Ovis aries: one gene and its partners. The protein of the gene in region 4 binds, or shares a complex with, the protein of the main gene of each other region. Links are inferred from orthologs where the notes say so. Each region holds a gene or a part of one and is shown on either strand. Other genes may lie near its edges.

Evidence for each region.
Region 1: RBX1 (region 4) and DYRK2 share a complex: the UniProt entries of both Homo sapiens proteins name them as parts of the E3 ligase complex. The link is inferred for Ovis aries from reciprocal best matches to the Homo sapiens genes RBX1 and DYRK2.
Region 2: RBX1 (region 4) and KLHL22 share a complex: the UniProt entries of both Homo sapiens proteins name them as parts of the BCR(KLHL22) E3 ubiquitin ligase complex. The link is inferred for Ovis aries from reciprocal best matches to the Homo sapiens genes RBX1 and KLHL22.
Region 3: RBX1 (region 4) and CUL3 share a complex: the UniProt entries of both Homo sapiens proteins name them as parts of the BCR(ARMC5) E3 ubiquitin ligase complex. The link is inferred for Ovis aries from reciprocal best matches to the Homo sapiens genes RBX1 and CUL3.

The regions. Positions count from the first base shown.
Region 1 is NC_056056.1:152,288,423-152,295,993, reverse strand, and holds part of DYRK2 (dual specificity tyrosine-phosphorylation-regulated kinase 2), read left to right. Parts: intron 1-4,687; coding exon 4,688-6,289; 3' UTR 6,290-7,571. UniProt on the Homo sapiens protein: Serine/threonine-protein kinase involved in the regulation of the mitotic cell cycle, cell proliferation, apoptosis, organization of the cytoskeleton and neurite outgrowth. Functions in part via its role in ubiquitin-dependent proteasomal protein degradation.
Region 2 is NC_056070.1:72,508,096-72,516,161, reverse strand, and holds the start of KLHL22 (kelch-like protein 22), read right to left. Parts: upstream 4,099-8,066; 5' UTR 4,039-4,098; intron 2,965-4,038; 5' UTR 2,896-2,964; coding exon 2,875-2,895; intron 617-2,874; exon of another isoform or gene 506-616; coding exon of another isoform or gene 314-505; exon of another isoform or gene 212-313; intron 1-211. Other genes in the region: cytochrome c oxidase subunit 7C, mitochondrial-like, read left to right, coding at 314-505. UniProt on the Homo sapiens protein: Substrate-specific adapter of a BCR (BTB-CUL3-RBX1) E3 ubiquitin ligase complex required for chromosome alignment and localization of PLK1 at kinetochores.
Region 3 is NC_056055.1:226,742,902-226,750,979, forward strand, and holds the start of CUL3 (cullin-3), read right to left. Parts: upstream 4,603-8,078; 5' UTR 4,317-4,602; coding exon 4,251-4,316; intron 1-4,250. UniProt on the Homo sapiens protein: Core component of multiple cullin-RING-based BCR (BTB-CUL3-RBX1) E3 ubiquitin-protein ligase complexes which mediate the ubiquitination and subsequent proteasomal degradation of target proteins.
Region 4 is NC_056056.1:217,990,893-217,998,655, reverse strand, and holds the end of RBX1 (E3 ubiquitin-protein ligase RBX1), read right to left. Parts: intron 5,514-7,763; coding exon 5,428-5,513; intron 4,788-5,427; coding exon 4,724-4,787; 3' UTR 4,714-4,723; intron 3,444-4,713; coding exon of another isoform or gene 3,381-3,443; 3' UTR 2,392-3,380; downstream 1-2,391. UniProt on the Homo sapiens protein: E3 ubiquitin ligase component of multiple cullin-RING-based E3 ubiquitin-protein ligase (CRLs) complexes which mediate the ubiquitination and subsequent proteasomal degradation of target proteins, including proteins involved in cell cycle progression, signal transduction, transcription and transcription-coupled nucleotide excision repair.

The DNA of each region.
Region 1 (7,571 bases), about 66 Mb from region 4:
TCCACGTCTCTGCTTATGTATTGCAATCCTAACATTTTGTGACTTGAGTCACCAGTGACAAGTCTTGATTCCCTGGGTGTTAACTTCATGTTTTCTTATGAAGCTACAAAGGTAGTTGTCAAGAATAACTCAAAGAGGTGAGAGTTAAAAAGGAGTTGCTGATATACATTCTTCCATTCAGCAGAAATTGACTGAGTGCTTACTGTATGTTTGGATTTATGTCGATAAGGATGTAAAAAGATAAGAGGTGACCCCACCCTGGAACTGCTCACATCCTGGTTGGTATATCAGGTGTGAAAACAGGTGTGAAATGAAATAAGTATTAATATATCAGTGCTCTGTAAGCATGCTGGAAGGGAAAGGGCCCTTTTCAAAGAGGAGGTGAGAGTTGAACTAGCCATTGAAGGGTGAGTAGGAGTTTTCCACATAGCCCACGTTAGCAAGGAGATTTCCGGCAGCACTTGGAAAGAACAGTAGTTCTAGCCCTCCTTTCAGTTCAGTTCAGTCGCTCAGTCGTGTTTGACTCTTTGCAACCCCATGAACCGCAGCACACCAGGCCTCCCTGCCCATCACCAACTCCCGGAGTCCACCCAAACCCATGTCCATTGAGTCGATGATGCCATCCAACCATCCCAACCATCTCATCCTCTGTTGTCCCCTTCTCCTCCTGCCCTCAATCTTTCCCAGCATCAGGGTCTTTTCAAATGAGTCAGTTCTTCACATCAGGTGGCCAAATTATTGGAGTTTCAGCTTCAACATCAGTCCTTCCAATGAATATCCAGAACTGATCTCCTTTAGGATGGACTGGTTGGATCTCCTTGCAGTCCAAGGGACTCTCAAGAGTCTTCTCCAACACCACAGTTCAAAAGCATCAATTCTTCGGCGCTCAGCTTTCTTCACCATCCAACTCTCACATCCATACATGACCGCTGGAAAAACCATAGCCTTGACTAGACGGATCTTTGTTGACAAAGTAATGTCTCTGCTTACTCACTACTATACTAAGCACACTATGCCTTTTACCTTGTTTAACCCTCCTAACGCCCCTAATGAGGCAGCTTTGTTACCCTCTTTATACCGATAAGGGCCCTGAAGTTCAGAAAGATTAACTGCCCAAGGTCACATAGTGTGAAGTGGTGGAGCTTAGATTCATTTCCCTTGTGTCTAATTGAAAATCCCTGAACACCTAACCATTATGAAACATGACCTCACCGAAAAGAGAGGAATATAAAAGAGAGTGTGCTGTCTCCATGGGTCGTAGGGAATCCAGCTTATTATTCTAAGAGAGAGAGTGACAGTGGTAGGTGACACTGGAAAGACTCAGGTCATTTAGGCTCAGCATTTTAGAACCTCCTGTTCTTGCCTGTGAGTTCTTGAGTTCTTTGTGGAAATGGAGTGCCCACATGAACCTTAGGCAAAGTCAAGGGCAGTGTGAGTGACACTTTCAGTGGTAACTCCAGAAACATCATGGAGAGAAGAGGCAGTGAATTCTAGGCTTAGAAGCAAAAGGACACGTGAGGAGGCTGCTTCCGTTGTCCCAGTAAAAGATACAAGAACGCCAGGTGGGATAGCATGGCTAGAGTGGAGTGGGTCAGTTAGAAATGACAGTGGGGCTCCATGGTGACTTGGAAAGGTACAGGAGATATGGAGATGGACTGAGTGACTATTCGGGAGGGTGACTCAGTAGGTAAAGAATCTGCCTGCCAATGCAAGAGACCTAGATTTGATCCTCTGTGGGGAAGATACCCTGGAGAAGGAAATGGCCACCCGCTCCAGTATTCTTGCCTGAAAAATCCCATGGACGTTGAAGCCTGTTGAGCTACAGTCCATGGGGTCGCAAAGAGTTCGCCACAACTGAGCATAGCAGCACAGCCTTTTCTTGTTCAGAAACTCAGGGTTCTGGGAGGAAGAAGTGGTTTGAGTGGAAAAAGTGAGTTGAGTTTGAGTTGCCCGTGAGGAAGGCAGCTGATCTGTAGTTGGACACAGGTGAGTCTTGAGTTCAGGGGTCATGGATCGGGCTTGTCTAAGCTGGAGGTGTTCTGGGAGTAAAAAGACACGAGCAACTTGAGGCTTGAACCCTGGGGGAACCCTGGAACCCTCCTTGATTGCTGCTGTGGAGGAGACCAAGAGAAGGTAGTTGGTAGAGACCGAGGTCCTCCAATTAATTGGCAAACTCTAGTTCTAGTCACTCCAGCTTTTGTGATGGTATTTTAAATTATGCAGAACATTAAAATTGCTATTATGGAAATGGAAGTCGGTTTCTGAAGCTCAGAATGTTTTACTTTGCCCTCTTTTTATAACTTCCTATAGCTCCAAGGTTAATTTTGTCCCCAGTGAAGCCTCATGCTTTCGTACTGTGTATCCTGGTGATGCTGGTTTTTCTTCTGAAGTCTCTCTAGGCTGCCCTGAAGAGAGTGGTTCTCTAGGAGACATGTATTTCTAATTTCAGGTCCTTTGATTCCTGATACTTGAAAGACCACAGTGGGGAGGAGGAGAGGTACAGAGAGTGAGGCTTGGACAAAAAGCATTAGACAAGCCTGTACTACGTTTATATATACATCCAGGACTTCCCTAATTCATTTTTATGAACTGCTTTGCTTTTGGCAAAGAATGAGGATAAAATAACTTGTCTAGCTACACTGACAGAAGATAAGTTCATTTAGCATAGAATACCATCTGTGAGTTTAGTAGAAGGGTTCAGCTAGAAGTCTTGCAGAAATCTAAGAAGTAAAATCCCTCAGTCAATGAAATCACACTTCAGACAGGCCCAAGCACTGAACTGTATTCTCCTTTGTTTTAGAAGATTGCAGAGAAAGCACATGCCTCAGATAGTGCATCAGTTAAAGAAAATTTGAAGGTCTTGGACTCCTAGTAAGATGGACTTGGAATTTCATTTTGTAATCTGCTGCTAAGTCGCTTCAGTCGTGTCCGACTCTGCGACCCCATAGACGGCAGCCCACCAGGCTCCCCTGTCCCTGGGACTCTCCAGGCAAGAACACTGGAGTGGGTTGCCATTTCCTTCTCCAAAGCATAAAAGTGAAAAGTGAAGGTGAAGTCGCTCAGTCGTGTCCAACTGTTTGTGACCCCATGGACTGCAGCCTACCAGGCTCCTCCACTCTTGGGATTTTCCAGGCAAGAGTACTGGAGTGGGGTGCCATTGCCTTCTCCAATTCTGTAATCTATGTAGTCCCAAACCATTTCTTGAATTATGATATTACATAGAGCACTTCTATGCATTTAGTGATATGTAAAGCCCAAGAGATAGGGTTTAGGAGATGATGGGAAAAACTGAAAGTTGAGGACTTCAGCTCGTTGACTGTATACTCCTGAAGGGCTGTGTGGCTAGACCTCAGAGAACACTGAATGAATGAGATGGATTGCAAATAGCAAGTTGATCTTTAAGCTTTCATATAAAAAAAAAAATCACCTGCTGAGATGCTTTTAAGACTTGTGAGTTATTGTCTGAGGCTGGCAAGAATTCCTAACTGGGAGGGGATCCTGGCTGTTAGTTTTCTTCCATCCCTCACCTCTTGGCGATAATAACGCTTGAGAGAAATCCCAGGTAGATTCTCTGTAGGAAGGCTGGGGCCCCCTGGCTTATGCCATCACTTTTGTTCATACAAGAATGTTTAGGGATGGCTTGTGTTCCTGAAATAGAAATCACTACATTGTATTCCTTGTTGGAAAGCTGAGTATCCCAGCAGCGGGGAGAAATACATGTTTTGAGAGAGCCAAGCCATTGACCAAAGGAAGGCCCGAGTGTGGCGGTTGGATTGTTGAGCTGGATGGCCTTAAATGGTCATCACAGTCAGTACAGCCCAGAGACTTAAAATAGGTTTGGGGTTTACAAGATACTACGGTGCATATCTACATGGGAATCTTTTCCAGCCTAAAAGTACAGTTCTCTGCTTCTGGATCATGTACTTTCCTAGGTGTAATTAGTTTGATTTGCAAGTAGTGGAGAAGACCAAGAATGAAGACAGCAGTGCTCAGAATAGAGCTAAATGCCAGAGATGGAGTAGTGAACGAGACTGGCCTGGTCCCTACCCTCATGGTAATAAAGAAGCTACTAGTGAAGTGTGAAAAATGTTGTAATCCGGGGGCGGGAGAGCCAGTAGAGTGCCGACGTGTTCATGCGCTTTCTGTATCCTTTCATCTTGATGTCAAGTATGGGTTGAGTGGAATGTCTATGATACCACAGTGCCTTTGCTAAATATTAGGTAGAGAATGATGACCAAGAAACCTGATCTCTGCCTCCACTGAGAACTTACTCTAAGGACCCTGAAAACATGTACAGCAAACTCTTCGTTAGGTGCAGCAGTTCTGGAGTCCTTTCTTCTTTTCCAGATCCCTAGTTTCATAGCCATCCCCAGCCCCTCAGCCTCAGGGGCAGCAGTTCTGGAGTCCTTTCTTTTTTTCCGGATCCCTAGTTTCATAGCCATCCCCAGCCCCTCAGCCTCTTCTGCCTTTGTCTGAGGCTATCTGCGTCATGACGTCCACTCTCCCTGCGGCAGTGTCGGTGAGGTGTCTGCTGCGTGCACAGCTCTTTCCTTTGAAGAAACCTGATACAGACTGTACTTTCAAACCAGATTGGATTTCGTAAAGGTGGGGGTGGGAGCCAACTTATATAATAGCCCTTTTGAACAAACCGCTTCTGTTCCATTGATGTTCCCTCTCTGAATTCCAGATTGGCGGCAGTAAGCACACAATGAATGACCACCTACACGTCAGCAGCCACGGACAGATCCAGGTTCAGCAGCTGTTTGAGGATAACAGTAACAAGCGGACAGTGCTCACGACACAACCAAATGGGCTTACCACGGTGGGCAAAACGGGGTTGCCCGTGGTGCCGGAGCGGCAGCTGGAGAGCATCCACAGACGGCAGGGGAGTTCCACCTCTCTGAAGTCTCTGGAAGGCATGGGGAAGGTGAAAGCCACACCCATGACGCCTGAGCAAGCAATGAAGCAATACATGCAAAAACTAACCAGCTTTGAACACCATGAGATTTTCAGCTACCCTGAAATATATTTCTTGGGTCCAAATGCAAAGAAGCGCCAGGGCATGACAGGCGGGCCCAACAACGGTGGCTACGATGACGACCAGGGATCCTACGTGCAGGTGCCCCACGATCACGTGGCTTACAGGTACGAGGTCCTCAAGGTCATTGGGAAGGGGAGCTTTGGGCAGGTGGTCAAGGCCTATGACCACAAAGTCCACCAGCACGTGGCCCTGAAGATGGTGCGGAACGAGAAGCGCTTCCACCGGCAGGCGGCCGAGGAGATCCGCATCCTGGAGCATCTGCGCAAGCAGGACAAGGACAACACCATGAACGTCATCCACATGCTGGAGAACTTCACCTTCCGCAACCACATCTGCATGACGTTCGAGCTGCTCAGCATGAACCTCTATGAGCTCATCAAGAAGAACAAGTTCCAGGGCTTTAGTCTGCCTCTGGTTCGCAAGTTCGCCCACTCCATCCTGCAGTGCCTGGACGCTTTGCACAAAAACAGGATAATTCACTGTGACTTGAAGCCTGAGAACATTTTGTTGAAGCAGCAGGGTAGAAGCGGGATTAAAGTGATTGATTTTGGCTCCAGTTGTTACGAGCACCAGCGGGTCTACACATACATCCAATCCCGTTTCTACCGGGCCCCGGAAGTGATCCTCGGCGCCAGGTATGGCATGCCCATCGACATGTGGAGCCTGGGCTGCATCCTCGCAGAGCTCCTGACTGGTTACCCTCTCTTGCCTGGGGAGGATGAAGGGGACCAGCTGGCCTGTATGATTGAACTGCTGGGCATGCCCTCCCAGAAACTGCTGGATGCATCCAAACGAGCCAAAAATTTTGTGAGCTCCAAGGGTTATCCCCGTTACTGCACTGTCACGACTCTCTCAGATGGCTCTGTGGTTCTCAATGGTGGCCGCTCCCGGAGAGGGAAACTGAGGGGCCCACCAGAGAGCAGAGAGTGGGGGAATGCACTGAAGGGGTGTGACGATCCCCTCTTCCTTGACTTCTTAAAACAGTGTTTAGAATGGGATCCTGCAGTTCGCATGACCCCTGGCCAGGCTTTGCGGCACCCCTGGCTGAGGAGGCGGCTGCCAAAGCCTCCGACGGGGGAGAAGACGTCTGTGAAGAGGATCACCGAGAGCACTGGTGCTATCACATCCATTTCCAAGTTACCTCCACCTTCCAGCTCAGCTTCCAAACTGAGGACTAATCTGGCACAGATGACAGATGCCAATGGGAATATTCAGCAGAGGACAGTATTGCCAAAACTGGTTAGCTGAGCTGAGCCCCCCGATGCTGGTAATTCTGAAAGATACGACATTGCTGAGCCTTATTGGGTTGAAAAAGAGTAGCTCAGACCTGTTTTTATTTGCTTAATAACTCGACTCATTTGTATCTTTTCGGCACTTGTTTTAATGTAAGAAAGTTGTTTGTTTTGTTTTATAAAATACATGGGGACAATGCTTTAAGTTTTTATACTTTCTGAAACTGTTTTTGTGTTCTAAAAGTACGATGAGCCTTACTGTAATTAGTGTGGCAGAGTAATAAACATCAGTGGCAGGCCATTGATCACGTCATGACTGCCGCGCATCTACAGATTGGTGTCAGAGACATTCACTATGTCTTCATGGTTCCTAGTGTATTCTCCCCAAGGTGATTGCCTCTGAAGGCCGCCCCCCACCCCAAGCCCTTCTCTCTCCACACTCCAGGTTCACGCACAGGTGCAGCATGTCCTTCGTTCTCCATCAGTTAGCTGGGTGGTAGTCATGGTGGGAGGAGGATGGTCAGGACGAAAATGGTATTGTAAGAAAAACTGCACCTTAGAGGTTTTTTTCCCTGAGATAGTGCTCAGAGACAAAATCCCCACAGTTGCAATGCCCAGTTAGCATTTTGACGTTCTAAAGGCTGGCCAAGCAGACCTGGTGGATGAATGGAAACACGTGTATCCCTCCAAATTCTCCAATGTGATCAGCGAGCTGTTTTGCAAAGAAGTCTGGTTTAACAGAATTTGGTTTTGTGCCTAAAATTAGAAATGTATTCCATGAACTAACTGTTCTTCCCTTCTCTTTGCTTTTCTCCCCGCTGTTCCTCTTTCACCACACATCTGTTGCTTGCATCTAATTTCTTTTCCTTCCTTCAAATACATATCCCAGACTGTTAATACAGAAAAGAGACATTTTTAGCTGTGATTATGACCATCTTTTTCATATTCCAATTTAAAAAAGAACAGCCTAGCTACTTAAGGTGGGGATTTCCGTAGTTCCAAAGACAGTTTAGCAGTCTCGAGTGCGTTCACACTTCAGGTGCCACAGTAAGGTTCTTTTAGCCTGGGAAAACATCACCTCTTTAAAAAGAAAGAGGGTTGAAAATCCTCTTCATCAACAGACGTCAATTGTCCTTGTCCAGCAAGGCCAATTTTAACAAATTCTAAGGAGGAAAAGTTCAGCCTCAAGTTAAATGGTTTGACTTACTCTATGCATCATTAGAAGAACCGTAGACATTGCATTCTTCTGTTTTATTTTACTTTTGTTTGGATTGCACTTGATTGTTTTTGTGGGAATG
Region 2 (8,066 bases), on a different chromosome or scaffold from region 4:
AATTGCCAACATCCACTGGATCATTAAAAAAGCAAGAGACTTCCAGAAAAACATCTACTTCTGCTTTATTGACTATGCCAAAGCCTTTGACTGTGTGCATCACAATAAACTGTGGAAAATCCTGAAAGAGATGGGAATACCAGACTACCTGACCTGCCTCCCGAGAAATCTGTATGCAGGTCAGGAAGCAACAGTTAGAACTGGACATGGAGAGTTAGAGGAGCAAGGTCGTGAGGCAAGAAGCGGTAGGTTTGCAGCCGCCGTTTCTTCCGCCTCCGGTCTCTGGATCTTTTGTAGAGCGTCCAACAGCGCTATGTTGGGACAGAGCATCCTGAGGTTCACAACCTCTGTGATTCGTCGGAGCCACTGTGAGGAGGGTCCAGGGAAGAATATACCATTTTCAGTGGAAAACAAGTGGAGGTTACTAGCTATGATGACTTTGTTCTTTGGGTCTGGATTTGCTGCACCTTTCTTTATAGTAAGATACCAACTGCTTAAAAAGTAATCCATGAGAAAGATAGGAAGAGGAGCATATTAAGAGGTGCAGTCTCTTAAAAGGTTCAGTCCCTTGAACTCAGCATCCTAAATATGTTTGTAAATAAACTTATGGCATAAATCCTTAAAAAAAAAAAAAAAAGAACTGGACATGGAACAACAGACTGGTTCTAAATAGAAAAGGAGTACGTCAAGGCTGTATATTGTCACCCTGCTTATTTAACTTATATGCAGAGTACATCATGAGAAACGCTGGGCTGGATGAAGCCCAAGCTGGAATCAAGATTGCGGGGAGAAATCTCAATAACCTCAGATATGCAGATGACCCCACCCTTATGGCAGAAAGTGAAGAGGAACTTAAGAACTTCTTGATGAAATTGAAAGAGGAGAGCGAAAAAGTTGGCTTAAAACTCAACACTCAGAAAATGAAGATCATGGCATCTGGTCCCATCACTTCATGGCAAATAGATGGGGAAACAGTGGAAACAGTGGCTGACTCTATTTTTGGGGCTCCAAAATCACTGTAGATGGTGATTGCAGCCATGAAATTGAAAGACACTTACTCCTTGGAAGGAAAGTTATGACCAACCTAGATAGCATATTAAAAAGCAGAGACATTACTTTGCCAACAAAGGTCCGTCTAGTCAAAGCTGTGGTTTTTCCAGTGGTCATGTATGGATGTGAGAGTTGGGACTATAAAGAAAGCTAATCACCAAAGAATTGCTGCTTTTGAACTGTGGTGTTGGAGAAGACTCTTGAGAGTCTCTTGGACTGCGAGGAGATCAAACCAGTCCATCTTAAAGGAAATCAGTCCTGGGTGTTCATTGGAAGGACTGATGCTGAAGCTGAAGCTCCAATACTTTGGCCACCTGATGCGAAGAAGTGACTCACTGGAAAAGACCCTGATGCTGGGAAGGATTGAAGGCGGGAAGAGAAGGGGACCGCAGAGGATGAGATGGTTGGATGGCATCAGCGACTCAATGGACATGAGTTTGAGCAAGCTCTGGGATTTGGTGATGGACAGGGAGGCCTGGCATGTTGCAGTCCATGCGGCTGCAAAGAGTTGGACATGACTGAGCGACTGAAGTGAACTGAGAGTAAATCTGCTTGCCAGCCTGCAGCTGGGTCCCTGCACTCCAACCAGAGGCTCCCGTGTTCATTTTTCTCCTCCGCCCTGCAGAGGACCCCATCCTGCGAGGCTCAAGCGCGAAGGCCGTGTCTGGAGGATGGAGAGCTCTGAGGGGAGGACAGAGCTAGGATAGCTCAAGCTTGAAAAGATCGGGGCCAGGGTGGGGGGGGAGGCGGGCAACCGTGGATGAGGGAGAAAATAAGTGGAGATACACTGTCCTGGCCGCGCACCCCGCTGCGTGAGGCACCTAACGAGATGAGTAGACCGCGCCCGCCCAGGAGCCGACGTTCTCAGTGGGAGAGGCCATCCAGAAGGACTTCTGGGAGGTGGTGGCCACACAGCTGTGCACCAGATGAGGACTTTGTGGGGAGCAGAGACAGCATTCCAGTTTGAAGACTGTGTCCACAGATCCAGTCTAGCGAGCGGTCAGCCAGCCGCCAGGAATTTCTAAGCATGAAAGGAAACTTGGAGACCAGACCCAGCCCTCCAGCCTGGGTCAGCCTGGGCAGGCAGATGCCAGCTCATGGTGCAGAGACTGGCCTGGAGGGGCAGAAGGGAAGCAGTCGCTGTCAGCGGGGAAAGAAGCAAGTTCGAAGGGCAGTGTTGGCTGGAGACCTGGGGAGGAGGCAGGTTCCCCAGTACCTGTAGAGGGGAGTGATGCGTGAGGAAGGGTCAGCCCAAGTCATGGTCGGGGACAGCCGAGCTGGAGTGGGTTTAGGGAAAGACAACGCCCTCCAGGGACCCAGGACGGTGAGGAGGCCGCAGATGTCCAGCTGAGGGCCTACCTGGGGGTGTCATGAGCTTCTGGAGGTCATACACTGAGCCAGAACAGGGATGGGGAAAGGAAGGTGAGCCGAGTGCAGAGCACACTTTTTCCAAGGGCACCCAGAAGGGCAGGGAAGGGGTGACCGCAGAGGTCCAATGGGGCTGGGAGAGAGTCCTCTCCTGAGGGTGGCAGCAGCCAGCCTGCAGTGACTGAGTGTGGAAGAGGGGGACAGGCCTCTGATGCTTCTTCAGATGAAGAGGGAGACTGGAGGAGGACACCTCCAGGGCAGGAGAGAGGAGCCGGCGGGTGGGGAGGACAGGAGGCCCGGAGCAAGACGGGGGCGCTGGCCGGGGACTGTGGGGAGCTGGAGGGACCCTTATCTCAAAATACAGCCGGCTCAAGTCAATGGTCCCTGCCACGGGAACGTCCGCAGCAGAGGAGGGGCAGGGCGGGGGAGGCCTCAGGGAGGGACGGGCAAGAGCACCTGGTGTCCTCCCAGGGACATGTCAGCTTCCGAGCAAAGCCTCTGTTCCCCGAGGGTCCCAGCTCTGGCTGCTCCGCCGTGGCTGTGCTTCTGCATGGAGAACAGGGCTGGCGCTTAGGAGAGTAAGAACAAGAGGAGGGAGGTGAAGCAGAGAGAGGTCCGAAGCAGAGATACTAGGCAGCAGGCGGGAGTGGAGAACGGGAGGTCTGACGTCTCCGCCCAGCGGGAAGGGCCTTAAAGGAGAGCAGCACCCGTGTCTGTCTGCAGAGCAGTTTGATCACAGCCATCCTGAGCAAGCAAAAATCAGTCGAGACTGGCGAAGACATTGGCAGCAAGCGGCAAAGAGTCTGTGAAAAAATTCATCCAGGGAATCCCCTGGAGGCCCAGAGGTCAGGATGTGGCGATTTCACTGCTCAGGGAATTAACAGCCCCACAAGCTGCATGACACAGCCAAAAATGAAATTTCTTAAGTGCAAAACAATCACAGATGATATTGAGTCCATTAAATAAGTGGAAATGAATGTGAGCAGTTAACACTCAAAAGAGGACACAAACCAGAGAATTCCCTGGAGGTCCAGTGGTTCCGAAGCCTGGCTTCCAATGCAGAGGGCGCCATCTTCATCCCTGACTATTAACAAGACCCCACATGCCGCAGGGCAACGAAGTCCCGGCGCCCTGCAGTCAGGGAAGCCGATGCTCCGAGGGGGACCAGCCCATGTGCCACAACGAAGAGCGGACCAAATAAATAAATAGAGACTTTTAAATACGTGCGTCAGTGAGAGTAAAACAACAAACCCCCGAGTGACGCCGTTCATCAGTGAACGCGTTCGTCCCGTCACTGACGATAACCGTTCAGAAGGCGTCAGGAGTTCCTCTCCCAGTGAGGTCTCGCTGGCTGCACAGGCTTTTCTCCAGGTGCGCGAGCCGGGGCCGCCGTCCTGCGCGGGGCCTTCTCCCTGCTCCTGCAGCTCCTGCTGCTGTCCCCTAGGGGACACAGGCTCTAGCAGCGGTGGCACGTGGGCGCAGTTGCCCCCCTGCACGTGGGATCTTCCCGGACCAAGGATCCGCCTATGTTGCAGGTGGACCCTTAACCACTCCAGGGGCTTTTTTTTTTTTTTTTTTAAGAAGAACTTTTAAAAGTTAATAATTAGAAAGTGAACCAACCTGAAAAACGATAAAGGGTCTTTACCGGAAGCTCACAGAAGAGGAAGTCCCCGCCGGTATGAACAAAGGAAGTGAGCTCAAGGGCAGTAATACTCAGGAAATGCAAATGTTACACCTCGCTTTCCCACGCTGGTAAAGAAAACACTATTCTGACACCTGTCGAAACAGTAAGAAAGACTGCTCAGGAAGCCTACTGCCGTCCTCGGGGCTCTCTCAGCGGGGGAGGGCTCCGGTTCTCCTCTGAGTACCGCAAAGACAGCTAGGGCCAGAATGAGGGGCTGCTGGATGCAAGATCACTCATGTGAGATGTCAAGGGTAGGGGCATTCTTGCTGCCCTGGCCTAACGGGATTATCCAGGGTGGGGAATGAGGAACTTGATCAGGTATCAAGGCTGAGTGTACTCCCAGAACCGATCAGGCAAAGAGCTTTATCCAGGCTGGGCTAGGCAGTCAGGAACAGGGCAGGTGCCAGATGCGCCAGTTAGAGAGGTTTACAAACACGCCTGCAGGCACTTCCCTGGAGGCCCAGTGACCAGCAGTCCACTTCCCCGGGTAGGTGATGCCGCTGAGTGGAGAACTGAGCTCTCCCATGCACCAGCGAAGACCCAGCGCCCCACAGCTAGGACCCGAGGCAGCCAGATAAATAGATTTTAATTCGCTTCAAAAAAAAAAAAAAAGCCTGGAAGATCTTTGACTCTCCTCCCACCAAGGGGTGAATCCCAGTTTTTCTTCCTGTCCTTGTGCGTGGCCTGGACTTCATGGCTGGTTCTAAGGGACAGAATGAGGCATAGGGAAGGGTGTGTTTGTGAAAGGCCTCAAGCCTTGCGTCTGCCTCTGTCTGCGCTCCGTAAGCTCTCGCCCCTGACCCCGTCGTAAAGACACTCAGGCAGCCGTGCGGGGAGGCCTGTGTGGACCCCAGACCTCTGTCAAAACTGGCCCCCACTTGCCTGCCAGGAGCCAGCTGTCTGGCAATCAGACCCTCCAGCCCAGCCAGGCCTTCTGAGCTGTCTGGAACCTCACGAGACGCTGAGCCAGGGGCTTCCCTCTGGTCCAGTGGCTCTCTGAGCTCCAGCTCAGAGAGCTTAGGTTCGATCCCTGGTCAGAGGACTAGACCTTGCATGCCGCAACCAAGACCCAGCACAGCCAAATGTAAGAAACGAGAGAGAGAGAAAGAAACAAGAAAAGAAAAAGACTGAGCCAGAACCCAGCTCAACCGCTCCTGAATTCCTGGCCCATAGGAGAAGGCAACGGCACCCCACTCCAGTGCTCCTGCCTGGAAAATCCCACGGGCGGAGGAGCCTGGGGGGCTGCCGTCTATGGGATCACACGGAGTCGGACACGACTGAAGTGACTTAGCAGCAGCAGCAGCAGGAAGGATGGCAGACAATGGATGTTTATTGTTGCCATTTTCAGCTACTTGGCTGCGGCGTAATTTGTTACATGGCGGTACATAACTGATACCTAGAACTATTGGTATTGGCTATCCACATTTAAATAAATGCACAGTGGCTCTCCGCAGAGCAGCACTGCCAGTTCTGGGTATCCGAGGAATACCCCAGATGAAAGCAAGACAGTGTATGGAGGGTATTCACTGCGGCAGGCATATCGAGTTGTGAGAAAGCAGAACCAAAGCGGAAGTGAGACAGGAGGGAAGGGGGCAGGGAAAAACCATGACAAGATGATGCAGCCTTCAAGGATGTGACATTAACTGGTTAGAACCTAGCAGGCCCAAGCGGCAAAAGATGTGACTTCCAGTGGACCTTGGGTCTCATTGCACGCTTGTTACAATCCATTAGCTAACTGACACAGCCGCTGAGGCCAGGACAGTCCCCAGGTCAATCATAAAAGGCCAGAAGGTAGACAGTAGCCTAACTCCTGGAAATCCCTACCCTCTCACCAAGGAGGCCTAGTGTGCCACAGTCCATGGGGTGGCGAAGAATCGGACACAGCTGAGCGACTGAGCTGAACTGAGCTGAACCCCTTCCCCAGACGAGCTGAAATGACGCTCCCACTCAGCCACCGAAATCGGGCGGTGGAGTTCCATCGCTAGACTGTGTCCAACTCTTTGCCACTCAGCACGCCAGGCTTCCCCGTCCTCCGTCATTTCCTGGAGCTTGCTCAAACTCAAGTCCATTGAGTGGGTGATGCCATCCAGCCATCTCGTCCTCTGTCGTCCCCTTCCCTTCCCGCCTTCAGTCCTTCCCAGCATCAGGGTCTTTTCCAGTGACTCAGCTCTTTGCATCAGGTGGCCAAAGTATTGGAGCTTCAGCTTCAGCATCAGTCCTTCCGAGACTGTTCAGGGTTGATTTCCTTTAAGATGGACTGGTTGGATCTCCTTGCTGTCCAAGGGACTCTCAAGAGTCCTCTCCAACGCCGCGGTTCAAAAGCATCAATTCTTCTGGGCTCAGCCTTCTTTATGGTCCAACTCTCACATCCACACATGACCACAGGAAACACCACAGCCTTGACTGGACGGACCAGCAAGGAGACGTCTCTGCTTTTCAATATGCTGTTTACGTTTGTCACCCAAACTGTGAAAACGAAACACCCCGCAACCCAGGGCCGCCTCACTTTCTGAGGGGGACGCGTCCTGTCCGTGGAGCCCGTTTGTACGTAAACTCGCTTTCTCCCTCCTGTGGCTCACTCCTGGATTCTTGCCTGCGTGAGGCCGAGGCTCCTCACTTGGCAGCTGGTCCCAGGGACCCACCTGACTTCTGGGACATGACCATCCACTCACACTCCCTTCTCTGGCAACACGTGTCCATAAATAAACCGGTTAGGTACCTGACCTGAAGCAGGTAATTTAGAGGCTGTGATGTAGCAATGACTTTTTTTTTTTTTTTCCTTAAACCAAGTGACCAAGGATACAGCCCAGGCCCCAGCAGCGAAGGCACCAAGTCCCAACCGACGGGCCGCCAGGGAATTCCCAACAATAACGTCTCAACTTCACCAAATAGCCAAGTAACCCCATTTCCCAACTGTTCTCTACGTGTCCTTTCTCGCTGAAGGTTGAAATTTATTGGCATCAAGGTTCAGACAAGGTCGTGGCATTGCAGACAGGTGGGGAGCCTCTGGCTGGTCTTCCCAGGTGGTGCTGGTGGGAAAGAATCCTCCTCCTACTGCAGAAGAGCTGTGGGTGGGGAAGCCCCCTGCAGAAGGACCTGGCAGCCCACTCCAGCGCTCTTGCCTGGAGAATCCCGTGGACGGAGGAGCCTGGGGGCTGCAGTCCACGGGGTCACAAAGAGCCGGATACGCCTGAAGCGACTTAGGATGGGGCGCCTCTGAAGTGTATCTTTGTTTATCTTTGGGTTCCCCTTCACTTGTGTTTTTCTTCTTCTTCTTCTTTCTCTTCTTTGTTTTTAGATAAGAAGTAGATTTATTCGGATTCAGAGAGACACACACTCCACAGAGTGCAGTCTGAGGGAGAGTGTGGCAGCCTGCATTTTTCTTCTTGTTGAGGAAAACGGATCCTTTGTTTTGTAGCCTCACCCTACCTGGATTTGCAATTCGTAATGTGACAATCACCGCTGGGTACACGAAGTGCTACCTGCTTGGGGAAAAAGGTAAAAAAAAAAAACCCTGTAAAGATTATGTGATATACTCTGGGCATCGTCTGGACCACACTTTTCTGGGCTGTCAGATTTCCTTGCCCTTGAACTAGTTTACAGCTCTGTACATTACAGACAATCACAGTGCAGAATAATTCTTGTCCTTAGACGTGCAAATTCTGCCAGGTGGGGGGGAATCTCTGTCACTCGCCAGGGGAGAGGTCAGTCTTGTCTATATTTGCATATTCATTTTGAAACGGAGCAGCAGCCTGTGGTGCTTGCTCCCCCCACCAACCACACTCCACGTCCTACACCAGCCTTTTGTCTGTAGAGAACCTTAGTCAAGGGGTAAGTTTAATCAGATAAATGAGAAAAGCAGAAACAAAGGAGAACGGTCGGAAGAGACCAAATGATAATAACGTGGTCATTGAGCAGAGTCAGGGACCTCTAGCTCTTTCTCACGGACTGTAGATAGTATTCT
Region 3 (8,078 bases), on a different chromosome or scaffold from region 4:
CTATTAAAACTGTTTCAAATTCAATAACTTTAGTACTAATAATTTGGTAGTAATAATTTTCTTGGCTCCTCAGAACTGCTTTCTAAGACAATACAAAATAGACACTTTATAACTACTGTATCTTTTTCATTTTTAAGCTTCTGAAGGCTGTGAGGTACTAACTATAACACAGCTGGCTGTCTTGAAACCATTAAATACAAAAAAAATCAGTCTAAGTGAAAGCAATACTTTAACGAATGCTATATCTCCATAACATCCCTATAAGAAAATACTAAAGAATAAAAAACAAACCAAGCTTAGAGGTTAATTCCGCGCCCTGTGTGATTTGCAAAACTCTTCTTCAATCTCTCTGTATGTACAGTCCAGGTAGTTTAGGCAACAGCTGCTGCTGCTGCTGCTGCTAAGTCACTTCAGTCGTGTCCGACTCTGTGCGACCCCAGAGACGGCAGCCCACCAGGCTCCACCGTCCCTGGGATTCTCTTGGCAAGAACACTGGAGTGGGTTGCCATTTCCTTCTCCAGTGCATAAAAGTGAAAAGTGAAAATGAAGTCGCTCAGTCGTGTCCGACTCCTAGCGACCCCATGGACTGCAGCCCACCAGGCTCCTCCATCCATGGGATTTGCCAGGCAAGAGTACTGGAGTGAGTTGCCATTGCCTTAGCTACTTACTCTAAATAAAAGAAACCTATTTTGAACATTAAAGCTGTTCCCTTAAATCTAACAAATAACACTAGAGCTAGGAGAAACAAAAACATTAACTTTCCCTCTTGTCCTTAAATCCTTGTGCTCTTAAGTATTTAAGAGCATAACAAATGAGTGTCAGTCATTCTGTGGGTTCCATTTAACAATAGCTTCTCTAATTGTCCACGCCACACAGGTGGTGCTCATCTAGAATTATTGCATGCACATCACAGCCAGAGATTCCTTATCATGACTGGGGTGCTTCTATAAACCAGTAAGTGAAACCATTTTCAGAAAATGTTCTAATGAAAATCACTTTCACAATTTGTCTCCTAAACTCTGAAGTCTAAGTCAAATAAGGCAAGTCAGAGGAGACCAGTATTCCCATTCAACCATATCCCCCCCTCCAATACAACCAAGCTTTTCAAGCCCATGCGGACAAACTACCCAACTACAGTACAGGCGGTGAGGAATGACTATTACAAAGGTAAGAACAAAAAGTTCACCTGACAGCAACTAATCCTACAGAGTGAAACTGAAGCACAGGAGTGAGACACATGGCAACAGCAAGGAGATAAGGGCAGGAACTTCTTGGGACAGCATTCTTTGGTCCAAAGCCACAGTTTCCAGGAGTTTCACAACTACAGCTTCCTTTCTTAAAAAAGTTTTGTGTCCCTTGCTGTCACTGTGGGTACCAAAAAACTCCAAAAGATGTGAGATGCTATATATTTTGTTCACTGCAGCAAAGTTTACAAACTGGAATAAAATATTTCCTCCATCATCAATCTGTTACATACAAAAAGCTCTTCATTGTTTTCTGTCTTAAAAAGAACCAACTTCTCAGAACCTGATTTTACTGATGAGACTACAGCTGGGGTAGGTTTACACATTTACAAAATATCCTGTACCATCACTTACTATTTTGTAAAGATAACAAAACAATCTTCAAACATATTTTTATACTTTTTCACAGATCAGTTTTATAAAACACTCTGAAAGGAGTATTTGAGGCCTCTGCTTACACTACAATTTCCCTTAGAGTAGTTGTTTATCTCAAATCGTAAAATACAGTAGTTTTAAGTGTGCACACATGAATACACACAAAATATTTTCTTCATGGAATAACAGGCATTTATTACTTCTGACTTGCAATCCATGCAGACTACAGTTAGGTAAATGACTGCTAACCTGGAAGGAAAAAAAATTCTGAAACTCTTAAGTATTCATTTACCAAATAAATCACTGAAATCACACCACTGAGGTTTTATGTAGCCATCCTTAATGAAAGTTCAAAGAACTATGATTTTTACATTTATATATTTAAAAAATGCAATGGTTCTCACTGTAGGAACTACTCATGAGTGATGTTAATACCCATGAGAAAATTTAAAACTCTCAGACATTTTTAAAAATTAGCAGATACTAAGTACTGAATATCAAACACTAGCTACTTGCAAACTTCATTTAAGGATTTTAGAGAAACTTAAGAGGGCAACAAATTACAGATAAGAAAAGGTCTGAATTAGTTCATTATCATAATGCGCCTGAAAAAAAAAGTCAGCTTCAGTGCTGTGTGGTAACCTGTCACACACTCTGATACTCTTTAGCTAAAAGAACAAAATTCTCTCCCACAGCTTCTTCCCAACAATACAAGATCCAGAAAGGAGGGATATTGTTCTCTGAAGCTATACTGATACATCCCAAGACCCCAGAACAGTACCTGGCACACAGTCCTCAGTATTTCCTAAAAGAATGAAGGAGTGGAAAAACAGGTAGGGACAGGCAAACCAAGAGATCAAAGAGTTGATTACACATAGATAAAGATAAAGCTGATTAATCAGAATATCCACAACAGTGAGTTGATGTCAAATGTGAGCTATTCCACCTTTTAACAATAATCTGTATTAGAAGTCAGACTTCAAGAATAGCAAACTTCTCTTAAAAATGTATAAAACTATTTGAAATTCTGAATAATTCTAGATTCTGCTTATTTAATAGGAACTGATTCAGTAGGAAAACTATCACTACTCACAAATTCATAAACCCAGTTCACTGTTTATAAAGAAAAACGTGCAAGTGAACTTCATTAGTGCTCTTCTGTCAACACTTGTTACTTTCTTTGTACTTTCTCACGATTACTTAGGGAAAAAACTTCCGAAATTCAAAATCCCTTTAATGTGCATTAAAACATCTAATTCTCCTGATTATATCCTATCTTTATTTACATAAAGTCCGAAGAGTCTTCACATAGGTATTAACATTTTTATTACCATCTGGGAATTCTGCATCAGGTGTATTTTTTCCTTCTAAATTTTAAGAATTCAGGGAGGTCCTCAAGTTCTCTAGGTCGGTTTCTTACTCAACTAGGACAATTATATTAATTTTTCCTCTAAAGTGCAAACTGTACTTTAGAAAAAGCATGCTTTAAGAAGTGAATACAAACCCTCTTCACCGCCCCCCACCACTCAATATAACGTGCTTGTGATTCTAAGACAGGAAACCACAGCTTCTTCTCTATAGTTTTCCTGGTTTAAAATCTTCTATTCAATTGCTAGTTTGTCCACCTTGACGTCTACCTGTTACAGAAGCGACATGAGCAAGTATGTCCAGTTTCTCTGTCCCAAGAGTACACTCTAATTGCTTGCCACTGGCTATCTGATTCAGATACGACATCCAAAGTTATACCATATAATACTAAACACCGCAGGGGTATGACTTAATTTAAGGCCAAAAAAGTTTCTAAACAAAAATACTTTTGCTGTCACTAAAACCTAGAGTAAAGCAACTCACGGTGGTGACTACTTATTCTTTTGGGCTTCCGTGGCTAGGAAATGAAGAACCAATCGTCTCATTTGTTTTGTCTTACTTCCCCTTGAGTGGCTAGGCCATTCCTGCACAGGAGAGTTTGTAAAGTGCATTGGAAGGTTGCGGATGAAAGATTCTGTAAACACACCGACGTTGTTAGTGTATTACTACAGAGCATTACGCGGAACGTCTGTCACCGCGTAGAGGGTAGGTGGACGGCAGAGCCCTTCCTGGGGAGGGGAAGATCGGGAGAGGTCCGTCCCCGGCATCTTTTAGCAGGCCATCCTTTAGGCATGGTGATTTTTTTTCAACTGCTGCGAAACCTCACGTGAAAAGTTACACACACGCCCCACACCAGGAGGACGTAGACGATCCCCATCCCTGCAGGGCTGGGAGTCCCGGGGACCGAGCAGAAGCGGGGTGCTAGGGGTTGGGCCTACACCCCAGGAGCGCGGCGAGGTGCCGGGACCGGCCGAGGGGCCCCGGCCGCAGCCGACGCCCGCGGGGCGACCGGAGGCGCAGCTCCTGGGCGGGGGCGCGGCGCCGGCCTCGGATGCCGGGGGCGCGGGGAACGGCCCCGGAGGGTGGCCGCGCCGGGGCCCCGCGCCGCCCCGTTGCCGGGAAGGCTCGCGCCCCGCGGCCGGCGGCGTGGGGGATGGGAGGCCGGGCCTGCGGCCTGTTGGGGGGGAGTTCAGCCCGGGCCTCGCGTGCGGCTGTCGGCCGGGCCCCCCGACCCGGGGTCCCAGGCGCCGAGAAGAGACTCACCGGAAAGGCCCGGATCCGCATCTTGGTGTCCTTCCGGCTGCCCGTGCCTTTGCTCAGATTCGACATGGTGCTCGTCCCCTCCCCGGCGGCGGCTTCAGGTCGCACTCCGAGGCGCCGGTGTCACATTTAAGGCGGGCGGGCAGGCGAGGGGCGACGCTGGGGGCGGCGGCGGCGGCGCGGCCCCCGGGCTGGGCTGGGGAGCTGGCCGGCCCCTGGGCGGCCGCGGCGGGGGCAGCGGCGGCTCGGTCTCCGGCGGCTCGGGCTCGGCTGGGGGACTGCGCTGGCGCGGCGGCTCCGCGGGGTCCCCCTCACGCCCGGCTCGGCTCCCTTTATCGCGCTCCTCCGCGATGGCGGCGGCGGCGGCGACGGACAAACATCTCACTGCGCAGGCCGAACGTCCTCCTCCTCCTCCTTCTCCTCCTCCGCCTCAGCGAGACGAGATCCGGCCCAGAGGGTGGAGGGGGGAGGAGGGAGGGAGGAGAGCCGGAGAGTGGAGAGATTGGGGGGAGGGGGGGAGGACAGAAGGGGGAGGCGGGCGGCCGCGGCAGGAGGAGGGGGACGCTCAAATCTCGCGAGAAGAGGGCGAGCGCGCTTTCCCGGGTGGGGCGGGGCGAAGCCTGCGAGCGGGAGGGGGCAACGGGAGAGGAGGAAGGGAACGGGGATTTGGGAAGGTGGGCCAGCGGGGCGGAGAGGTAGGAAAGGGGCGGGACTGAGGCGGGAGGAGTGAGCTGACTTTTTGAAAGAGGAGCGTTGAAGACCGGATCCTGGGTGAGGGGGCTGCTGATTGGTGGAGCGCCGGGCGAGGGGGCGGGGTCTTGTTCACGTGGACGGAGTGGGCAGGGGAAGTTCCGAGAGCCGGAGCCGGACTGTAGCAGGCAGTGCTCGGCTCCGCTTGGCTGGGCTGGGCTAGAGCGAGAGGAGGGTAGTCTCGGGGTGGAGCGTAGGGTGCTAGGTGGATAACCACGTCCTGAAACTGGTTCCTGTGTTTTTCTAGGGCAGGTGGACTAGGGATGGGTACTTGACCAGAAGCCAGAAAGTTGAAAGAAGAGTTTGTGCAGGAGTTATTAATATATGCAGTGTCAGAAAGTAGAGTCCTGTATGCCTAACAAGGTATTCGGATTGGATGTGCACACTCCAGCTGTCAAGATTGAGGGGTGGAAATCCGTAAAATTTCCTTAAACTGATTCACTGTTGTCTGAGAGACCTAGAACTTACTAGTATTAAAATTTGTGTTTCGTTGCCTTTGAAATAACAACTCCCTTAACTCAGTGCAATATTTTGGTAAATGGTGTTAAATAGAAAATAGAATAATGGAAACCTAACCTTAACCTGCCAAGTCATTTTAAGAGTATGATACATTTTGAAAGCCAAAATTTTTGTCTTTCTTTTCAGTTTGCTGATAATTTGAGGGAATAAAAGTTTGGCATTGCATTCAAAAAGTCTAGTTTGATTCATCAGTTTTGCTTTTCATTATGAATTTTACACCCTAATTTACCTCTTTGTATTGTTATAGTTGGATTTCTGACTGCAGAGGAATATGTGAGTTCCCACTAAAGTTTGTGATATCATTTTTAAGTAAGAACCTATTGTTGGAATGAATATTAATAGAATGTTAATACTTTTAAATTTTATTCTTAATGCCTTCTTTTAAGCTGAAGTTTAATTCTTTTTAAATATTTGGAAGCTGGGGGGTTTTATTTTCTATTTTTTGATAAATGAACTGGAATATACCTTTTTGATTTGTTCACTGTAAGGTTGGATTTTCCCTAAATTAACTTAATCCTGATAACTAGATTCACCAGTGTTGTGCTTTCACCCCTTACTTGGTTGAAATGCCCTACTGAAAACATTTTCTTGTTTTGTTTTCTGGTATTTGCTAATAAAACAGAGCTTAAGAAACAAGGATGTTGCTTGAAGCAATATCTATGTAAGTACTGAAGCTAAAAATAGGTCAAGAATTTTGCTGATAAGCTAACAATGGGAGGGACTCTGATTTAAATGTAAGTTACTATGAGTCTTGGATAGGAGTTTATAACCTGTGTGCTGATTGAACCTTCATTTCCATAATTGTTAGACTATATTAACAACCAATGTTTTTGTATTGGTTGCAGTGTCACATGGCTCAGTTTCTTTGTGATGTAAGAAGACTGCTCTGTCCAAGGGATTCTCCAGGCGAAAATACTGGAGTAGGTTGCCATGCCCTCCTCCAGGGGATCTTCCTGACCCAGGATCAAACCCACTTCTCCTGCACTGTAGGATTCTTTTTGCACTGAACCATCTGGGAAGGCCTTCTACTCTTTTACTGGATGTATTTTGTGTCTTTGGGGGCAAGGGCTAGGCTGTTTGTCTAGAGTTCCTTATCTGTGAAATGGAGATAAAAAACAATGTTTCTTCCTTGGGCTACTCAAATTTAGATGATAAATACATTTTTTAAAACCCTGAAAGCAGTGCTCAGCACAGAGTAGTCACTCAAAACCTGTTGGCTGCTACTGTCTTTGGTAATTAAGGCCCAGCTTATACTGTCTTCCTTTATTCAATATGTAGGTTTCTTTAAGAATGCTGTATGTTTTTACAAAATGAACCTTACTTGGATTTCAGAAACCAATGAAGTAGTTTTTTAAAACACTAGAGAACCAGTGTAGGGTTGACAAGTGTATTTGGCAAGTAAGAGCATTAAAGGGCTTCCAAGGTGGCTCAGTGGTAAAATAAATCCCCCTGCCAATGCAGGAATCACAGGAGATGCCACTTTTATCCATGGGCTGGGAAAATCCTCCAGAGAAGGAAGTGGCAACCCACTTCAGTATTCTTGCCCAGGAAATCCCAAGGACAGAGGAGCCTGGCGGGCTACAATCCATCATGTCACAAAAGAGTTGTGCACGACTTAGCCAGTAAAACAGCAACAACAAAAGAGCATTAAAAGAAAATAAATAACCGGGAGTATAGACTAGCTTCATTATTTTATTTTGCTTTTTAAAGTATTTTAACCACAGAAATGGAGGAAGGTCAGTTTGTGAATGAAGTTTGTTCTTTAGAACAATTCATTGAGGTGATTTTTCTTCTTTCAGTGTGAACCTGAGAAAACACCAGCGTGAACGCCACACTAAAAGCCAGCATTTAGGAAACCCCCCCTGCATTAAAGCATATATCCATGTAATTGTGAAACGTATAATCTCCTTTTGCTTTGTGAACTCAGATTTTCATATTATGGTTTTACTGAAGCAAAATTTAGCTGCATTTTAAAGAATCACTCTCTACTGTCTTCCTTTAGGTTGTTAACCACAAAAACCCAGAAAAATTCTTAAAAATGAATTTGTCTGCCACTGCCATAAAAAATTCTACTGCTCATTTATTTAAAAGATATTTATTTAATGGCTGCCATATATCGGGAGGTAAGGTAAATAAAACAGATGAGACCTACCATCACATAATATATAGCCCTTCCTCCCTCCCCCAAACTTGGAAACGACAGGTCCATACTGGATTTGGCAATAACTTTTTGATACACTGTAGTCCAGAAATCAGAACTTTTCCTTCATAGAAAATCAACATCCTCAAAATGCCTATGAAATACCCTCTAAAGCAGCAGTAGGCCATTCTCCTAGTCCAGTCGTGTTCCCTGACCTGCAAATGGCAAATGAACTCTCAGGATATTCCTTTTTCTGTCAACTGCCACCTGATCCAGCAGAGAAAGGAGCGCGGGACTAGGAACCAACTAGATGTTACATGCCTGCCAGTTGGTATTCCCACTTATGCTGACCGTGTCCTGACACAGGAGAATTGTGGCCCCATTTCCATTTATTTGCAGGGAGCACGTGCAGTCAGAGAAGG
Region 4 (7,763 bases):
GTCTCTGAGCAAGATAGAGGCTGTTACTTCCAGGAGGAGTTTGTTTGGCAGAACATAGAATAATTATCAAGGCATCTGAAAATAGTTCCATTCTCTGCTAAGTATAGGATGATAGGCTCTACTTTTGTGTAATGGTTAGTTTCATGTCTCAGAACGCAAAATGTAGAAACAATTAGTTTGAAAAATTGCTACTCTGAGGTTGCTCTGAAGAAAGTAGAAGAAAGGGGACACTTTGGTGAAAGACACCACGCTGTTTCAGACCTCATCATAGCCTGGGTTTAGCTAGAAATATGGCCTCACTTTGCGGGAGATTTCAAAAAGTTCGGAGGAAAAACACCACGATGCTGGAGGCCCTAAAGGGAGGCAGGGGTCCTGACCCTGTTTAGAGGAGTTTTGGGGAGGGTTAGCCTTTCAGGTAACTCAGCACCGAGACAAGGGAGGAGGGAGGTGGACTGGATTGGGCAGGAGATATTCCTGGAAGGACAGGGGGTTCAAGCAAATCCAGCTGAAGCTTCCGCATGGCACTGGGATGAGGTCAGAGGAGCTCATGCCAGGCTGGAAAGAGAGGAACAGAGATGGGGATGTGCTTTGAGGTTACAGGTCATGTGAGGCTCTGTATGTCAAGGGGTGAAGGCCCAAGTAAGAGGGCAGGGCAGTGGGCTCAGTGGGGACAAGAGGCCCTCAAAAGGTGTTTCAACAGTGGGCTGAAAAATTGGTCCAAGCAGGAAGAAAATAAAAGGCATTGAAGGAAAAAATATCACTAGAGGGACTTCCCTGGTGGTCTAATGGTTAATGACTCCTTGCTTCAGGGAAAGGCGTTCGATTCCTGGTCAGGGAACTAAGATCCCACATGCCAAGCAGTGCCCCGAAAAAAGAAACTGATCAAATAGGGGACAAAAACCGAGGAGAGAAAACACAGGCAAAGGACTCTTTTAGAAGAATGTTCTGTTGGCTGAAGAGGTGAATAAAAAATGTCAGATGACATTTTCATAAAATGATGGGCTTTTTAGGAAATGTTCTGAGAATGAATAAGAAAACAGTGTAGACGTACCTGGCAGGGGCAGGAGGGGATTAATGATGACAGCTGAGAACCAAAGGCCTGGGCTATCGTTGCAGCAGACTGGATACGTAAGAAATGATGTTGGAGAGCTCACCGCAGCATAGGCCATGTTGGAGAATCAGGCTCAGAAAATGGGCAGCCACTGGGACCACGGCCAAAATGATGCCACAGAACTGGTCTCGGAAGGTGCTGGCTATTTAGGCTATTAAACACCGGCTGCCACAACCCATTCGGCTGTCTGCACTGGGCCTTGGGTCAGTGCTGCTGCCCATAGCCACAGAGGATGGCAGGCCGAGTGTCTCTGATGGAGGTGGGGGTACCCTGCCTCTCCAGCTGCTTGGAAGCCGGAGGAGCCAGGATGAGGCACGCTCGTCTATGATGGGAAGTGAGCTCTGTCCATCAACGTAGAGATTTCCCAGCTAGTGGAAGGGGCATCAGTCAAATTAAAGATTTGTTTCAGGTTGTAGCAAGGAGACTAATGTTAACAGTTGGAGAACTGCAATTGTTTTAGAGGAAACTGAAGACAGCCTGTGCTCTGTCAGTGGCGACGGGAACGGAGAAGAGGGCACAGGTTGCAGTGAGAGGGCAGCGGGTGAATGGAGCTTAATGACTACTTAGATTCAGATGCCTCTGAATGCCTGCGGCTTCAGGAATTGGGAGTTGCACCGCCATTCATCAGGTGAAGGTCTGATCCCTGGTTAGGGACTCCAGATCCCACAAGCCATAAGCGTAGCCAGCAAAAGAGAAGCTAGTCTTTGTGAAAGAGCGACAGAATCCCAGCAGGGATGCCCTGGTTCTAGTCATTCATTCTTAGGTCCAGCCCCTTCTGTGTCCCTTACTCCTTTCAGAGGACACAGCCCCCTAGCCCTCACAAACGTTCCATGACCTAAGCAGAAGCTGGAGTCGGCTGCTCTGCAACCAAGGGTCTTTATGAACACCCAGGCAGAACTCTGCAAATATGTGACGCCAGCTGTGTGAAAACCATTCTTCTGCATCGCTTAAGTGTTCCTGCAGTGTGAATGACCACCTGAAAGGGGTTTAAAGGAGGTGATTTCTGCCGAGGGTGGAAGGAACATCGACGGCAGCAGCCACCTGGCCCTGAGCGACTGCACTGCTGGCGGCCAAGTGGGGAAGCTGGGTTCCACCCAGGTTGGACCTCAAAGTTCTTATTACTAAGCTAGAGGTTCTCAAACTTTTGAGTCTCAGGATCCCCTTATGATCTTACACACTGAAGAAACCAAAGAGTTTTTATGGGGGTTGCATCCACAGATATTTACCACAATGGAAATCAAACTGAGAAATTTAAAAGATTTTAAAAGAACAAAAACCCATCACGTTAACATAAATATTTTTATTCAAAGTAACTAGTTTTCAAAACAAAAGTTAGAAGAGTGGCACTGTTTTACATTTTTGCAAATCTCTTTTATATCTGACTTAGCAGAAGACAGCTGGATTTGCTGCTCTCTTTTTTCATTCAATACGTTGCTTTGTCTGAAGGAAAAAAAGAAAAATTGGCCTTGTACAGACACGCAGCCGGAAAAGGAACTTCGTGAACCTCCTGAAAGTGTTTCCATTACTCCCGCAAGTCCTCAGCACACACTTTGAGAATCACTGCAGTAAATTAACCCGCCTCTCAGTTAAAGACTAAGAGACTGAAGTAGTGTTAGAACTGGCAGTTCTGTCCACAGCCAAGGCATCTTAAACAAATTACAAAGGGTGGTGGTGAGGAAGGGAAACCTGAATTCTCCCGTTAACTCTAAATGACACTGTTTTCCAATTTGAGTTCACAGATTACTCCATCGCCAGCCAAGATGACATATTAATTTTTTTTCAAGTTAACTTTTCTAAACTAAAATGAGAAAGCAACATGTCATACACAAAGTTAACACCTGTACAGCGTTCTCACAGTTTATAAGGCCTCTTTCTGTGCCCACATGATCCTGTTTAGTCCTTAGCAGCCACTTCACGGAGGAGGAAGAGCTCGGAGCAGACAGACCACTCGCCCAAGATCATCAGCAGCAGCCAGGCTGTGGACCAGGCTTCCTTGAGACCAAGCGACGTGCTCACAGGACGATCCTGCTTTGGCTCTGATGAACAAACACCTCACTTTCAAAACCTAGCCTTCCACCCTAGAAAGGGGCGGGAGGCCCTTTACTTGTGTTCACTTTTTGCACATACACAAAAGACAGCGTCTGTTCTAGAATCCAACTGGATTTTATTTGACACAGAATACAGTATGGCTGCCAGAATAGCAAACTGAAAAGACAAAGCAGAAGAGACACAGTTCTATCTAATTTATAATAAGTAACAGGAGGGCAAGTCATTCAGTGGATAACAAAAACAGTTGAGCTTGATGGAAGAATTCTTTTTCTAGTGCCCATACCTGGAAGACAAAGTAAATTATTAATTCATTCCTTATCGTGATTCCCTGTTTGAGACTGTAACACCTGCTAAAAATATATCCACCAATCTGGTTAAAACTTTGAAGATTGGGTTTCAACCCTTGTCTCTGCCCCTTTCAGCCTACCGGCCTCCTGTAACATTGTCCCTACCACCCTCTTCATAGTGATGGTCCCCCACTCAACTGCACCCACCTGACTCTTTCCTGGTGCCAGGCAGATACTGGGCAGTGACAGGGAGGAGTCACGGCTAATGGCTGTGAAAGGGAGCTGCACTTGATGGCCAGTATGCAGCTAAGACAGCTTGAATCCTCCGCCCTCTTCCCTGTGGGCCGCCTCTTCCCCTCAACTCCCATACTTGGGCTAGTTTAGGGTAAGACCCCTACAGAGGATAGTAACCGAACAGCCTTCAGTGTCAAAATCTATCACCAGTTCCAATTACAGCCCTGAGTCTGCTGAGCACCACCGAAAGAACTGTCGAGAAACTAGCTATGGATCTCAGGTCCTTTCTGATTTCCTCAGAGGCCAAAACTTGGCTCCAGAAAGATTATAACCAATGGTAGGACATTTTTTCCACATGTAAGATTTCTTGAACACAGAATCCATTATTATCTTAATCTTTGGCCATGGTTCTTAGTGGGTAGTTCGCCTCTAATGAAAATACTTTGCTACACAGATGGAGACCAGGGCACCAGAATTCTGCATCACTGTTGCCATCATCCTGAAGGGCTGCTAGATTCTTTAAGTACTCCTTATAAGAAATTCGCTTAAAAATTCCCTAAAAAAGTCCTCACAGGGTAGAGCTCCAGCTTGTTAGTGAGAATAACCTAGAAGTTATCCATCAGTTTAAAGCATGCTGAAATGAAATTTGCTTCTTATGAATTTGTTTTCCCAGGGCGCTCATAACCACAGCCAGGCAAAGTCACCAGCTGGATAAAGCGACAGTGTCAAAGCCTAGCAGGAGGATTCGTCACCCCCCCACTTCTTAGGCTCAGCCCTGGGCACGTGTATGGGCTACGTGAGACAGTTTTGATCCAAGATGGCACCCTGAGCCTGCTCCACGGCACAGTCAATTACAAAGGTCTCTTGAGAACTTCGAAAATCCCCCTTTCCATTAAAAATTTGATAAATTAACTGAAAATTCAACAGATAAAAAAGCATTTCACAGACAAATACAACAGGCATAAAAACATATGAAAAGCAGCCCAACTTTACTCAAAGTTTTAAAAAATACAATTGAAAACTAATTTTCACCTGTCAGTAGCTAAGATGAAAACGTCTGATAACAAAGCACTGGCAAGAAATGGAGGAGGAAGTCTTCTGCTTCACTGTTGGTAGGGGCTGTGAATTAGTACATACTCTTGGGAAAGGAAAAAAATCTGACACTATCAAAAATAAAAACATACATACTCTTAAACCAGAAATTCCTCTTTTAGGAATTACTAGTACAGACTGATCATTTGAAGTTTTGAAAATTTGCACGCCGTGTATTACTTACACGCTACTACAATTAACAGCAGCAACAATAATGATTTAGTTGAGATAGCCACAGATGCTGTATCAGAATTAATCCCTGTGAGATAAACCAATGAAACATGATATAATTCTAGCCCAAAGCAAAGACAGATGACATTAGTTAGCCCCTGGAGCCTTATTCTTGATGTGATTGTGGAAATATTTAATAGCTTGCAAAATGAGAATTTGCAAGCTTCTACTACTACTTCCAAAGACCCTACCTAGATGGCTGGGAAACTCCAGGCTGCAAGTTTCTAATGCTGGTTCACCTTATACACTTTCCACAGAGACGCGTCCTCATCTAACTAACCGAAAGCTACTTTATGAACCAGCCATGTTCTATGTCTTCATCTTCTAAAACTGTGCACCCTCCAGCTTGACGTGGGTCCAAGAACAGTACTGACCACAAAGCCCAACCTTACATACGATGTCGAAACAGCCGGGGACACCTACTTTTGGAATTCCCACTCTCTGTTGTCCAACGGACACACCTGCCGTGTTTTGAGCCAGCGAGAGATGCAGTGGAAGTGGAAAGCATGCTGGAAGAAAAGATACATTTTATTAAAAATAATTCTGTGCAGGCTCAGCCGTCTACGGACAATATATCTCAAGGGGAGCAGGGTGGTGATACACAGCGGCTGGAGAAGAACCATGGAAGGCAGCACACAATGGGAGACAAAAGGTCTACAAGGGGTCACACCCGGCTAGGTGCCAGGCCGCGGCCCATGAAACATTTGTGAGAGGCTTTGTTCCTACCAAATGAAGAACATGTTTAGGAAGCATGGCGGGTGTTCACGCAATGAGGTCTCTTCCCCTTTGCCTAAGGTAAGATGCAGTGGGGCTTCCTGGGTCTAGTCGGCCTGGAAGGGAGGCTTGCTTTCCTCACACACAGGCAAAAGGAGGCCCTCAATCATCCACACATTTCAAATTCCCCACTCTTGGTCTCCAGATCCCTCCCCGTCTTGGAGAAGGCAACCCCAGGAGGAGAGGGTTTTCCTTAGCACGTGGCGGTGCATCACTCCCACCAACCACCCAGAACTGCGACAGGCACGTCCCCAACCTTCCACACCCAGCTCAACACTGCCCAAAGGACTGTATTTGCAGATTTGCTCATAGAGGCATTGCTAGTATGAAAGCTTGGTACTCAACAAGCCTCTAGTAGTCGGTGAGAGATTTTGTCTTAAAAAAGTGAAGTGAAACAAAGTCACTCAGTCGTGTCCAACTCTTTGCGACCCTGTGGACTGTAGCCCACTAGGCTCCTCTGTCCATGGGACTCTCCAGGCAAGAACACTGGAGTGGGTTGCCATTTCCTTCTCCAGGGTCTTAAAAAAGGAATCAGATAAAAAAAATCAGGGTAAGAGGAAGCAATGTGATGGGCACGCTGCATGCAAGCAGCTGGAAGAACATCAAAGGGCTAGTTCCATGATCAAGATGGGAAGTAAAAGGGCAAAAGTACCAAGAACACTGGTGCTAACAGGGAATGAGGAGCTGGCCTTCGCATTTGGGGAAAAGCAGTCTGTGTGTGTTAGTGACGTGCAGATGCAGTTCTGCAATGATGCTTATCCTTCAGCCCTGCTCGTGTGAGCAGCATCAGGATGGAGCAGCAAGGGTCCCCGCATCTGAGCCACGACGGGTCGGCTGAGGTGAGGCCTAGGGAGAAGTGCTGACACCCCAATACACAATGAAAGTTTGGGCAGGCCTGGCTTACAGCCCCGAGACCTGGTCAGTGTGTCTACCCAAACATGCATGGAACTTAGAGAATCATAATGTGGATTATCATCTGTGAAACCGACTTTCCACAGACAGACACAGAATGCGGTGATGAAGTCTAGAGTCCACACCAGTGCACTGGGGCTACTCGGAGGGACAAAGACTCCCAGGGCGACGGCCCTCTGCAAGATCCTTTTAGTCCTGATGCTCACCCAACTTACGGTGAAAAAGAGGAAAAACAAAATTTCCAAAGGGCAGAAAGTGGAGGCATTTTTTTCAATCCCCAGGCAGCGGGGACAGGCTCACCTAAGGGCATTCAGGAGCCCCTTCTCCCTCCCAGCTGCCCCACTAGGCTCTTTGCCGCAGTTCAGGGTCCTTGTACTTGCGCCCCACCCTGAAGACGGAGGGAAAGAGGGGCTGCAAATGAGGCTGCTGGGCCGGGACAGCATCCCTGAACATCCTCGATCCCAGCTTTCCTCCTGCGAACAATCTAAGACCTATCAATGGACATACCCAGCAGTCTCAAAACGCACTGCCTAGTGCTTTAACACTTGACAGGAGGGCTATAAACACCTATTACCTCACTGGAGCCTGCAGCAACCCCGCCAAGCATGACGGGTATTATCATCTTCATTTTACAGACGGGAAACTGAAGCCCAGATGAGTTAAGTGACGTGCCTAATTCACAGAGCCAGTCCCCAATACGGGAGCCCAGGACTAGTCCAAAGGCTTCAGGCACACCTGCTGCTCTTCCTGGTGGCAGGTCTCTCGAGTGTGACTCTCCTGAGTCAAATTTAAGGAGCAGCGCACTCCTTTTCCTTCCACCACAAAGTGACATGGTTCTCACTCTACACCTGGATGCCACGGAGAGCCAAGAGCCCAATATGCTTTATTCTTTATCCTCGAAGATGGCACAGTCCCTTGACTGTGGGGCTACTGTGAGACTGCCAAAGGGACTTGCAGGAGGTATTCTGAGCATTTTTTTATTTGAGCAGAGAAAAAGGTTTATTGCAGGGTCATGCAAGGAGATGGGTGGCTCATGCCCCACCCAAACCCTGAACTCCTCTAAGCATTTCTTT